3 linked regions of the Xenopus tropicalis genome follow. The protein of the gene in region 1 purifies or fractionates together with the protein of each later gene. This does not show direct contact. Links are inferred from orthologs where the notes say so. Each region holds a gene or a part of one and is shown in the gene's direction. Other genes may lie near its edges.

Region 1 (4,455 bases):
TGGTCTTTCACATGGAATTCCAATAAAATTGATTCATGTTTGTGGCTGTAATGTGACAAAATGTGGAAAAGTTCAAGGGGGCCGAATACTTTTGCAAGCCACTGTATATTTCATCAAGAATACAGGCTCAAACAAGCACAACTGTCTTTGAAAAAAGTTCTGCTTTGTTTGAGCACTGTAAAGCTGGCCATACACGCACCGATAATATCGTACAAAACCTCGTTTCGTATGATATTCGGTGCATGTATGGCAAGTCGGCGAGGCGACCGATATCGCAGGAGGCTGCTGATATTGGTCGACTCACCGATCGGGTGAGTTAAAAAATTTTGAGCAGGCGCCCTAGAAGGCGCCTGAGCAAAATCTGCCTTCAGAGCTGAATCGGCAGAAGGAGGTAGAAATCCTTGTTTCTACCTCCATCTGCCGTTTCAGCCCTGAACGTTAGTGGCTGATTGGAACGATCTTTCGTGTGACCGGTGGTCGCACGAAAGATCGAAAATTGCCACGTGTGTGGCCACCTTAATGGTAAAGCTGAGCTCAGGAGAAAAAAATTGAAGCAGACAGCTAGAGCTGAATTTCTATGGGAACCAGCAATGCCATCTCTTTACTGGCTGCTAGACTGGAGGGCGTGTTTAGTAATCTGAGTTTAGAACAACTGAGCAGAAATCAAAGTAAATTCCTGAGGGGGGGGCAGAGTGGGTTACAGAAGGAGAAGGAAAGTATGGTGTGAAAGCAAGCTTTTTGTGACTTAAGGTAAACTTATGAAACTTATCACATAGGCGGCAAAATAAAAATGGGCATAATGCAAAAAAAGTGCGTAAACACTGAAAGGTTTAAAGGAGACATATCATATACAAATTATGAATGTACCAGTGAATTATACTCCTCTAAATATAGAAAGATTGTGCTTAAAACGTTGTGTTTCTGACTGATTTATTGAGAAATTCCACCAAAACCCCACTAGTCCCGCCTATCTGTCCCACTTTCTGCTGGCTGAATTCTCTGGATGAGCTGGGGGCCCTCCTTACACTGCACTGTAGGATAGGAACCAATCAGCAGCTAGGCTGACCTGATAGGGAACTGAAGCCTGTCTTTGCTTGTGTGAGTGCAGGGCTGTGATTGGCTCTCCCCCTCCTACTGTGCTTCTGGCAGGGACCATTAGGACACGCCCACTCTTCATTTCACACTTTACAGAGAAGTGATAGGATCTATAGGGAGCTCCAATAAAGGGGCCATTGTTACAGATAGGATTAATTTTTAGGACAAAGTGAAACCAGCACATTATATTATTTATAATTGCCTACAAAACTAGGGTTTTTCCCCATTTATCCAATGTCTCCTTTAATATACTAATGTAAATACATCCCCTAAATGTCACGTACCGCATAAAAACACAACCAGCCATAGCAGCCACTATTTCCTCCTTTTATACGTAGAAAATGACAAATATCACCCCTCTTCTGCAAAATATTTAATTAATACTTTTGTTAAACAGCCCTACAAGTCTAGCTCCGCGGTCGTCACTTGCGCACCTCCTCCTTCAGCAGGCATATTTACGTAACGTCACTTACTCGGTTCTCTTGTGAGGTCTGAGGACCAATAGCGATTCTTGTTTCCTTTGGTTGCTGGAGGAGGGGTTTCTGCACGTTCGATGTAGTTGCTGGGCCTGTACGGGTCTGGAGACGGGGGTGGAGTTCAACTGGAAACGAGCTTGGGACACGGAACCTGCGTCACAGGCCGGACAAGATGGAGACCGCCGAAGAAGGTAACGGAAGAGATTCTACTTGTATTATGTGTGGGCATATTTATAGCTGATCTCCCCTCATCGCGATAAGTATAACTAAAGATGTGTACTGCCGTAAAGCTTGCACCCCTGTGAGGTTTATTAAGTATTTGGCCCTTAGAATGTGTTTAGGATAATGACGTTTATTTGCATTCATTACATTTATTTCTTTGCAGTCACAGGAATGTTAATATCCTTAAAAGTCTAGGATGTTTGTTTTAATTTCTGCTGTGATGTTGAGTTTTGTAATTGCACTCTTAAGCGCACATCTTTCAAGAAGAAGACCTTCCATAACACACACACGTATTGGCCTTTTTCTGTAAATTATATAGATATGTATTATATGTCAGACCGACTTGTCAAGTGTACATTACACAGAGAGGAATCATGGGAGTTGTGGCATAACCTGCATGTGTAGAGTTGGGTGAATGTTGCTGGTGTAAAAAGAAAAACATGTAAAAAAAAAAAATCCTGCAGCCTAACTAGCAAATTGCTAGAATCCATTGGCATTTGTGATGTTTAAATTACAGTGATTTCATATGAGCTGCAAAATAGATTTGGCCAAATGCTAAATTGAATCCAAATTCTTATTTGCATATTTACATGTACAAAATTGTATTGCATGAAAAAATTGTCACGTTTGGCTGTCCAGTACTTTACAGATACCAGTATGAAGCAGCAGTTCCCTTCTCTGTATAGAAGCCTCTATTGATTAGATGCTGAAACAATGATGGTGGGTTCTGCTTTCAGCATTAATGAGGTTGGGCACTAGTGTTGTGTGATCAAGCACAACTTGTCAGTGTTTCACTTCATTATTAGTGTGGTTAAGGTTTGGTATCTGTGCAGGCCAGTTAGGTGCTTCTCCACTTGGCATAGGGGTATCATGTTGAAAGAGGAAAGACCTTTTTCAAACTGTGTTAACAAAATAAGGATGCACAGAATTTTCAACACTATTGTTACATATATACATATACATATATACTATTGTTTGCTAAAGCATTATGGTTGATTTTACGTTATTTATGGCCCTAACCTAAACCATGAACAGCCACCCCAGACCATTATTCCTCCTCCACCACCTAACATTATAGTTTTTATTGCGTTTTAGGTAGCATTTCTTCCAAAAACAGATGTATGTGGCAACTCAGTCTTAAAATTTGAATAAAAATTCCTTTGCATCATCTTTTTAATTAAATGAGGGTGAAAAGATTTCTTTAGTTGTCTCTATTTTGCCTTGTGGGAAATAACTCTTTGTTGATACTAGAATAGCAGTTGTTGTATGTATGTATGTATGTATATTTTTTATTTATAAAGTGCTACTTATGTACGCAGCGCTGTACAGTAGAATACATTAATACAAACAGAGGGTTAATAAGATAATAGATAAATACAAAGTATAACAATAAATACAAATAAATACAAGATACAGTTGCAATAAGTTAAGAGTCAAAGACACAAGAGGATGGAGGTCCCTGCCCCATAGAGCTTACAATCTAGATGGGAGGGTAACTTACAGACACAAATAGGCAAATATAAGTGCTGTAGGTCACAGTGGGTGACATTACAATGTAAGTGCTAGTTCCCTGGTCAGGTGCTGGGCAAGTGCTCCAAAAGGTAGTCTTTAAGTTTAGTTTTAAAAAGACTGGGGGAGGATTCTCTCCGGAGGAAATCAGGGAGGGCATTCCAAATGTAAGGGGCAGCAAGGCAGAAAGGTTTAAGGCGGGAAACAGCAGTAGTAGTGGGGGGTGCAACCAAACAATTGCTCTGCGAGGAACGAAGGAGTCGGCCAGGAACGTACGGAGACACAAGGGAAGAGATGTAGTGAGGAGCAGAGGAATGGAGGGCTTTGAAGGTTAAGAGAAGGAGTTTGTAAGATATTCTTTGTTTAATGGGAAGCCACGATAAGGACTTTAGCAGGGGAAGGGCCTGAACTCTACTGGATGAGAGGAGGAGAATTCTAGCAGCAGTATTTAATATAGACTGTAGGGGGGAAAGATGGGAGTTAGGGAGGCCGGTTAGTAGCAGATTACAGTAGTCCAGTCGGGATAGGATGAGAGCATGCATGAGCAGCCTAGCTGTTGCAGTAGAGAGAAAGGGACGGATTTTGGCAATATTGCGTAAGAAAAAGTGACAGGTTTTGACAGTGGAGTTAATGTGGTCAGAAAAGGAGAGACTGGAGTCAAAGATCTCCCCCAAACAATGCGCCGAATCGACAGGGTTGATGAGGGTGCCATTAATAGAGATAGAAAAGGGGGGGGGGGTAGGACCAGGCTTAGGTGGAAAGATCTTTAGTTCAGTTTTTGTTAGGTTCAGTTGTTCCTGGATTTTTATGTTGTTCTGGTTGTATTGGTTTTTAAATTTGTGATTTCTAGATTTTTAAAAATCTGAATAAACTCTATTTTATCAAACTTGAATTTTGCTTATTTATTAAAAAATACATTGATTTTGGATTTTATCTATCATTTTTAATGGGTCTACAAACTAGAGTCCTGCATCAGGATGGGTACTTGCAGAATACCTGCAAAGTGGTCAGGTCCCTGAACATGCTGCTGTTACGTGGGTACCCTCCTGAGATACCTGGGCTGATTGCAGGCTTTCATTCCCCCCCAACTCCCTGACTGTTGATTCGCCTTTAGTGTGACCTAACTTACACCCATTGGTGGAAGGCAAATCAG
Region 2 (3,470 bases), about 74 Mb from region 1:
TGATTTGGAGAGAACTTCTTCAGGACCTGCCTGACCTCTCCCAACATTCAGAAGTTTTACAGGTATGAATTACAGTTAGACACATTTACGGAATATTTATTGGACAGTTGATCATAAAGGAGCAAGTACTACTTGTTTTGCATTGAGTATGATGTTGTATCTAGACATTTCGAGATGGCATTCTCTTTGTATTGTAGACTTAGCTTGTGATGTGCAACTTGTACTATGCCACCTACCCACACCTAACAATGTAGAACCACCCTTACTCTGCTAGAGTATTGTTAAGTAGAGTATGCATTGCTATCCATCTATACAGCTATGTACAACAACATAGAGCTCAGATTTATAGCATTTAAGGGATGAAAAACTCCCAGTAAACTGCAACATATGCCACCCATTTAAAATATATACTAACTTCACTCATGATTATTTGTGCCTCACTCATACTCATATTATTCACAGGCCAAGAAGGTATTTTACTGGTCCAGGAAGAAGTCCCATTCTTTTGTGGTCAACGTGCTAGCCCAGGCACTGTATGAGCTGTTTGCTGCTACAGATGGTACGTATTGTCTATATAGGGGTTATTATGTTCCACAACAATCTTTTGAGTTGATGGTTGTAGCCTTGCTAAAGAGTTTGTGTACTAATAACACATTATCTACACAGATTCCTTGTACCAGCTGAGAAGAGCCTGCTTCAACTACTTCAAGCTTGGAGGAGAGTGTGTCGATGGTCCTGTTGCACTCTTGTCTGTGTACGTAAATATTCAGCAACATAAACCATTTGAGATATAATGGAGGATATGAAATGGGTTATTGTGGGACTACAATCAGGATTATATCATGTGACACAACTATAGTTACTCTTATACAATACTGTGGGTAGGGGGCGGAAATGCTGAGCTGTAGCAGGTGTCCACTTGGAGAGGACTGGGTAATGAAACATCTACTCTTAATGATTTAGCCTTCATTTCATATCAACTCATATGCCCCTCAGAGAGTCCCTTGACAGCACTGTGCTATGTTTCCTAAGGGAAGAAGGACCTGGAAGTGACTGCACATAGCAGATCTAAAGGTGCCCAAACACGGCCCATGTATGGGCACTACCGACGGGCCTGCCCGACCGATATCTGGCCTGAAATCGGCCAGATATCGATCGGGCTGGTTAAAAAATCTAGTCGGATCGGGTACCGCATCGGCTTGATGATGCGGTCCCCGAACCGACTTTGCCTATACCATCGTTATAATTTCCTTGAATTAGCCTGGATTCTCTTGGTATCGCTCACCCGTAGGTGGGGGATATCTGGAGAAGATCCGCTCACTTGGCGACATCGCCAAGCGAGCGGATCTGAAGGTGTATGGGCACCTTAACACTATTAAACAATAGACAGCTTCAAAATATTGCCCAGTGTTAAGGAAGGAAAGGAACGTTAATCTTCACGTGTACCAATCTTTTTATTTCTTCCCTGCAGGGTGTCTCCCAAACCTCTGCTGCTCATTGGCCATTTCTTTGCGGTGGCATTTTACGCCGTCTACTTCTGCTTCAAGAACGAGCCCTGGTTGACCAAGCCCAGAGCCTTGTTCAAAAGCACTGCCGTACTGTACCGTGCCTGCTCTGTGATATTCCCGCTTATATACTCTGAGATGAAGTATTTGGTTTACTGAAGCCACCGACGCTACTGTGAGATACCGAACATGCAGGATTCATGCTAAATCTGCTACATGGAACCCAATGGTGCAATTAGTCAGCTTCATCCTCACCGGTGACCTGACAGATAAATGCTATTCACGCTATTCCAATGGTTCATAGTGTTTAATCGTGACAAGAAGAATTATTACGAAGTACAGCATTTGCAGTTACTAATGGTAATTAATCAAAGTGGTCTACTTGCAATATGGGACTAAGAAGAAAATCTTTGGTGCATTTGTGTTGATAAGACTTTGGGCGGTATCAGTATCGAAACATATTCCCATTCCCACTATTTATCTGCTTTTATTCAAAAGCTGCTCTTGTAAGGGCTGCCAGCATCCTTAATAACAATGAAAGGAACATTTGGGGCTAGCTTTACCTGCAATAGCATCCCCTGTAAATTTCCCAGACTCCCCCTACTAAATAAATTCAGGCTACAAATATCTGACCGACATCCTTATATCTTTACTGGGCATACCCAGATGGAGTCATAGAATCATGGAGCTGATCTACAACCAATTAATTCTACTGACTCTGGTGAAGGGGATTGCCCATTGGACTGCTCATAGCAGATGGTCAAAGCACACACAGCATACTCTACTTGGCCGGAAACTCGGCACTGGCCTACTCTACTTGGCCGGGAACTCGGCACTGGCCTACTCTACTGGTCTGGGAACTCGGCACTGGCCTACTCTACTGGTCTGGGAACTCGGCACTGGCCTACTCTACGTGGCCGGGAACTCTGCACTGGCCTACTCTACGTGGCCGGGAACTCGGCACTGGCCTACTCTACTGGTCTGGGAACTCGGCACTGGCCTACTCTACTGGTCTGGGAACTCGGCACTACTCTACTTGTCTTTCAGAACACATTGGACCTTAACACTTTTGCTTGGGACACAGTGTGCCTACACACTCTCAGTTATCTCATGTTTTTCCTTTGGACTCTGTAAGAGAAACTATACAACAAAAATATTTGGGTTGGAAGGTCACATTCTAAAGTCACCTTAACTGGGCACTTATTGTACAGAACCGCACTCTCTGCTGTCACTTTGTGTTGCTGCTACTGCCAGTCAGATATTTAATTGTATCAAAAATAACTGACAAACATAGGCGCAAGGCCTTTAAAATATGAGAGAACACCAAAACCATGCAGACTGTGCCCTGGTCAGAACTGAACAAAGGACTTCAGAGCTTAAGATGAATGCTAACCACTGGGCCATTGTATTGCTCCACTTCTAACTTGCCTACCTGACTTATTTGAAGGGGTAGTTTATCTTTAAATGAACTTTTAGTATGGTCTATTCTGAGCAATTTTGATCTTCGTGTTCTATAATTATAGAATCATTTCTCTTCTGCCTGTATTCTAGCATTCAAATAAGGGTCATTGACCCTGGCAGACCAAAACACTATTGCTCCATAAGACTGCAGTTCAATAGTTACCTTTTATTACTATAATCTTTCTATTCAGGTCCTCTCATATTCATCTTCCAAGCTCTGGACACCCCTACAAGACCTAGAAACTAGATTGTTTCTGAAATTCCAGACTAGAAGAGTTATAACTATATATTTCAAAAAGAGAACACGTAAAACCATTTTTTAAAACCCATTCCAACTTGTCTAGAATAGCTTTTTCTACACCATACTGAAAGTTAAGATCAAGGCAAACTAACCCTTTGAAAAGCTCCTAGCAAGTGTACTATTTACGATATCAATAAGTAAGGACACATGCTAGTAAACAATGGTAGGCTTTGGCTTATATTTCCAACATATGAATTCTTCCA
Region 3 (2,421 bases), on another chromosome or scaffold:
ACAAAGATTAAAGACTGACTTGACTACATTTAAGTCTTTAAGCCACAATCTGCACTTTTTATTCACAGATGAACTGTAATGTATATTGTTGGTTAAAGCACTGCTCAAACTCCAGTAAGGCTTATACTAACACTTTTGGTACCCTGTGTTTAAAGCTTAATTTTATTGAGGCACAAGGTTAATACTGCATTAGCCCATTCACAATGTTTTGATTAGTCTGCCAATAACATACTACCACTTTTTTCACAATTATTTAATGCAAAGTGGAGTTTCACAGTAGACACCTCACTGTACCAGTCTTATGAGCCTTTTTGTATATTTTTGTATTTGCAATAAATAATTAAGCATTAAGTGTCTCTAGCGTGTTTTCCTCTGATAAATACCAAACATAATGGTGGTACCAACAAACTAGTGGTGGGATTGAGCTTCTCTTGCATTCAAAAAAAAAAAATTAAAATGGCTTGGTGATATAACCGTTTCATACAATACACTGTTTAAAGCATTTGTGAAGCTAATGCTGTTTATAAATAGCAGCCATTATCTAAGATATCCCTTTCACAAAATGCAAAAGTCCCCCTCATTACCATTTCTTAACTCTGAAGGGAGTCTTGTGACCTATACACCAGGAGTTTATTAATCTTCGAGTAAATTCCTTTAAACTGAGGTTACCAGATTAATCTAATTTGCCAGCACGGATTGTGTTGTGAGTTAATCCATTTTCAGTCCAATATATGAATGCTATAATTGTCACTGAGCATGAACATGTATGCATGTATGAAGAGCCTCTGTAGACAAAAGCTTCCTGCTCTCTGTGCACTCTAATACATCAGATCAAAATGTCTTTACAACATTAGCTAGCTTCCTTTTTGTAATGGCACACAACAGGCTAAAATAGATTCAGATATATTTTGTGTGAACTCAACTAGTTTGCCAGCAGCTTATGGGGGTTGACAATTCAGGAAGAAATTGAGCTTAGGCCCTTAGATTCCAAGACCTTGAATATGGACTACCAGTGCTAATGCAGCATTAAACTTGCCAATATTGTTATTGTTAGGACATATGCGTAACTCTATCATGAAACTGTTCATGTTTCATGCTTCCTATGGGTTTTAGTTCTAACTGCACAGACACCAGTTATTGGTGAGTTAAATGGCTTGGGCTGAATAGACAAAACTGTCTACAGGCAATGAATTTCTTCCAAGCAATAGCTACAATATGAACAGTAGCTTTAAGTGCCTCCTGGTCTAACATGATTTTTTTTTTTTTTTTTTTACTACCAGCTTGGGTTTGTAAACATCTCAAACTATCCTCCAAAACCATTAACAACCTGATAAGTGTCCATAATAGGGTACAGGTTTCTAAGAGGACACAAAGTGGCTTAGTATTTAGTTATTAATATAAAATTCAATTACATGGTATAATTAAACAATCTTTGTTCTGTCGTACTTTATATTGCTCCACATCTAACTACTGGTTAGAAACTAAATAAATCTCTTTTCACTTTTGATTAGGTTCCTGATTTCAGCATCACTGACCTATCATCAGAAATTGATGAAAATCCAGATGCTTTGGAAGAAGATGAAATGGAAATGCAAGACTTTTCCCGCTTGAATGGCAGAGTAGTAAACCGGGAAACAAATTAGTACAGACTGCTTATTTCTTCCTTCTCTCTTCCCCCAACTTGTGTTTGACCTAGAACTACACCAAATCATTTTGTTACTGCATATTTAACCAGTTTTTGTTCTTCTAAGCACCGTGTTAGTGACACAATTGTGGCATTAGGTGTCTATAAAAGCTTTCTTTGCATTTGTTAACTTAATAAACAATGTTTAACTTTAATGCACATACTGGTCATAAAACCAATAAGCAATCTAACTACCAGCCTACTTGAGTCTCCCTGATGCAGTCACTTCTGTATTATGCCTATGTACCTAAACTAGTAATGATACAGGCAAGTATGCTTGTTAATAACCGTAAATTACCTGCCTAACTGCTAGAGAGGCTATAGAAGGGGTTTTTTTTTTTTTTTGTTTTTTTTTTGGCCTTCCTCTGGATCAAATTTGCCACAGAGGGGGGAAAAATTCATCCTTGACTCAGATAAAAATCTGACCAGTCCCTGGATCAACTTGGACCAGTTAACTTTATAACCAGCTTAAATTCAAAACAGAAGTGACCCATATGAAACATTAACACATTATTGTACTCAATGTCTTTAGCTATAGAAGCAACAAAATCTGAGGGATTTGAATCTGGAAAACTGCCCAGCTACTATGTCAGATTGGGTTCCCTTTCTACTAAAGCTCGCAAGCGTGCTTATCAGCAAGCTTTGACTAGAATCGGTGATGCAAAAAACAGGAGCCAGGAGGCAATTTCTCAACTGCATAAGACTGTGGACCTTGTAAGTACATAAACCCCGAAGAC

Evidence for each region.
Region 2: the proteins of marchf6 (region 1) and sqle purify together in Homo sapiens (affinity purification with western blotting; 4 studies listed by BioGRID and IntAct, with this or other methods). This does not show direct contact. The link is inferred for Xenopus tropicalis from reciprocal best matches to the Homo sapiens genes MARCHF6 and SQLE.
Region 3: the proteins of marchf6 (region 1) and plin2 purify together in Homo sapiens (affinity purification with western blotting; 3 studies listed by BioGRID). This does not show direct contact. The link is inferred for Xenopus tropicalis from reciprocal best matches to the Homo sapiens genes MARCHF6 and PLIN2.

What each region holds. Positions count from the first base shown.
Region 1 is NC_030682.2:69,863,753-69,868,207, forward strand, and holds the start of marchf6 (E3 ubiquitin-protein ligase MARCH6), read left to right. Parts: upstream 1-1,586; 5' UTR 1,587-1,743; coding exon 1,744-1,762; intron 1,763-4,455. UniProt on the Homo sapiens protein: Endoplasmic reticulum membrane-associated E3 ubiquitin ligase that plays a critical role in mitigating endoplasmic reticulum stress, the regulation of cholesterol and lipid homeostasis, and ferroptosis.
Region 2 is NC_030682.2:143,391,819-143,395,288, reverse strand, and holds the end of sqle (squalene monooxygenase), read left to right. Parts: coding exon 1-62; intron 63-462; coding exon 463-559; intron 560-666; coding exon 667-754; intron 755-1,471; coding exon 1,472-1,664; 3' UTR 1,665-2,885; downstream 2,886-3,470. UniProt on the Homo sapiens protein: Catalyzes the stereospecific oxidation of squalene to (S)-2,3-epoxysqualene, and is considered to be a rate-limiting enzyme in steroid biosynthesis.
Region 3 is NC_030677.2:119,024,548-119,026,968, forward strand, and holds the end of plin2 (perilipin-2), read left to right. Parts: coding exon of another isoform or gene 1-11; exon of another isoform or gene 12-351; intron 352-1,511; coding exon 1,512-1,643; 3' UTR 1,644-1,872; downstream 1,873-2,421. UniProt on the Homo sapiens protein: Structural component of lipid droplets, which is required for the formation and maintenance of lipid storage droplets.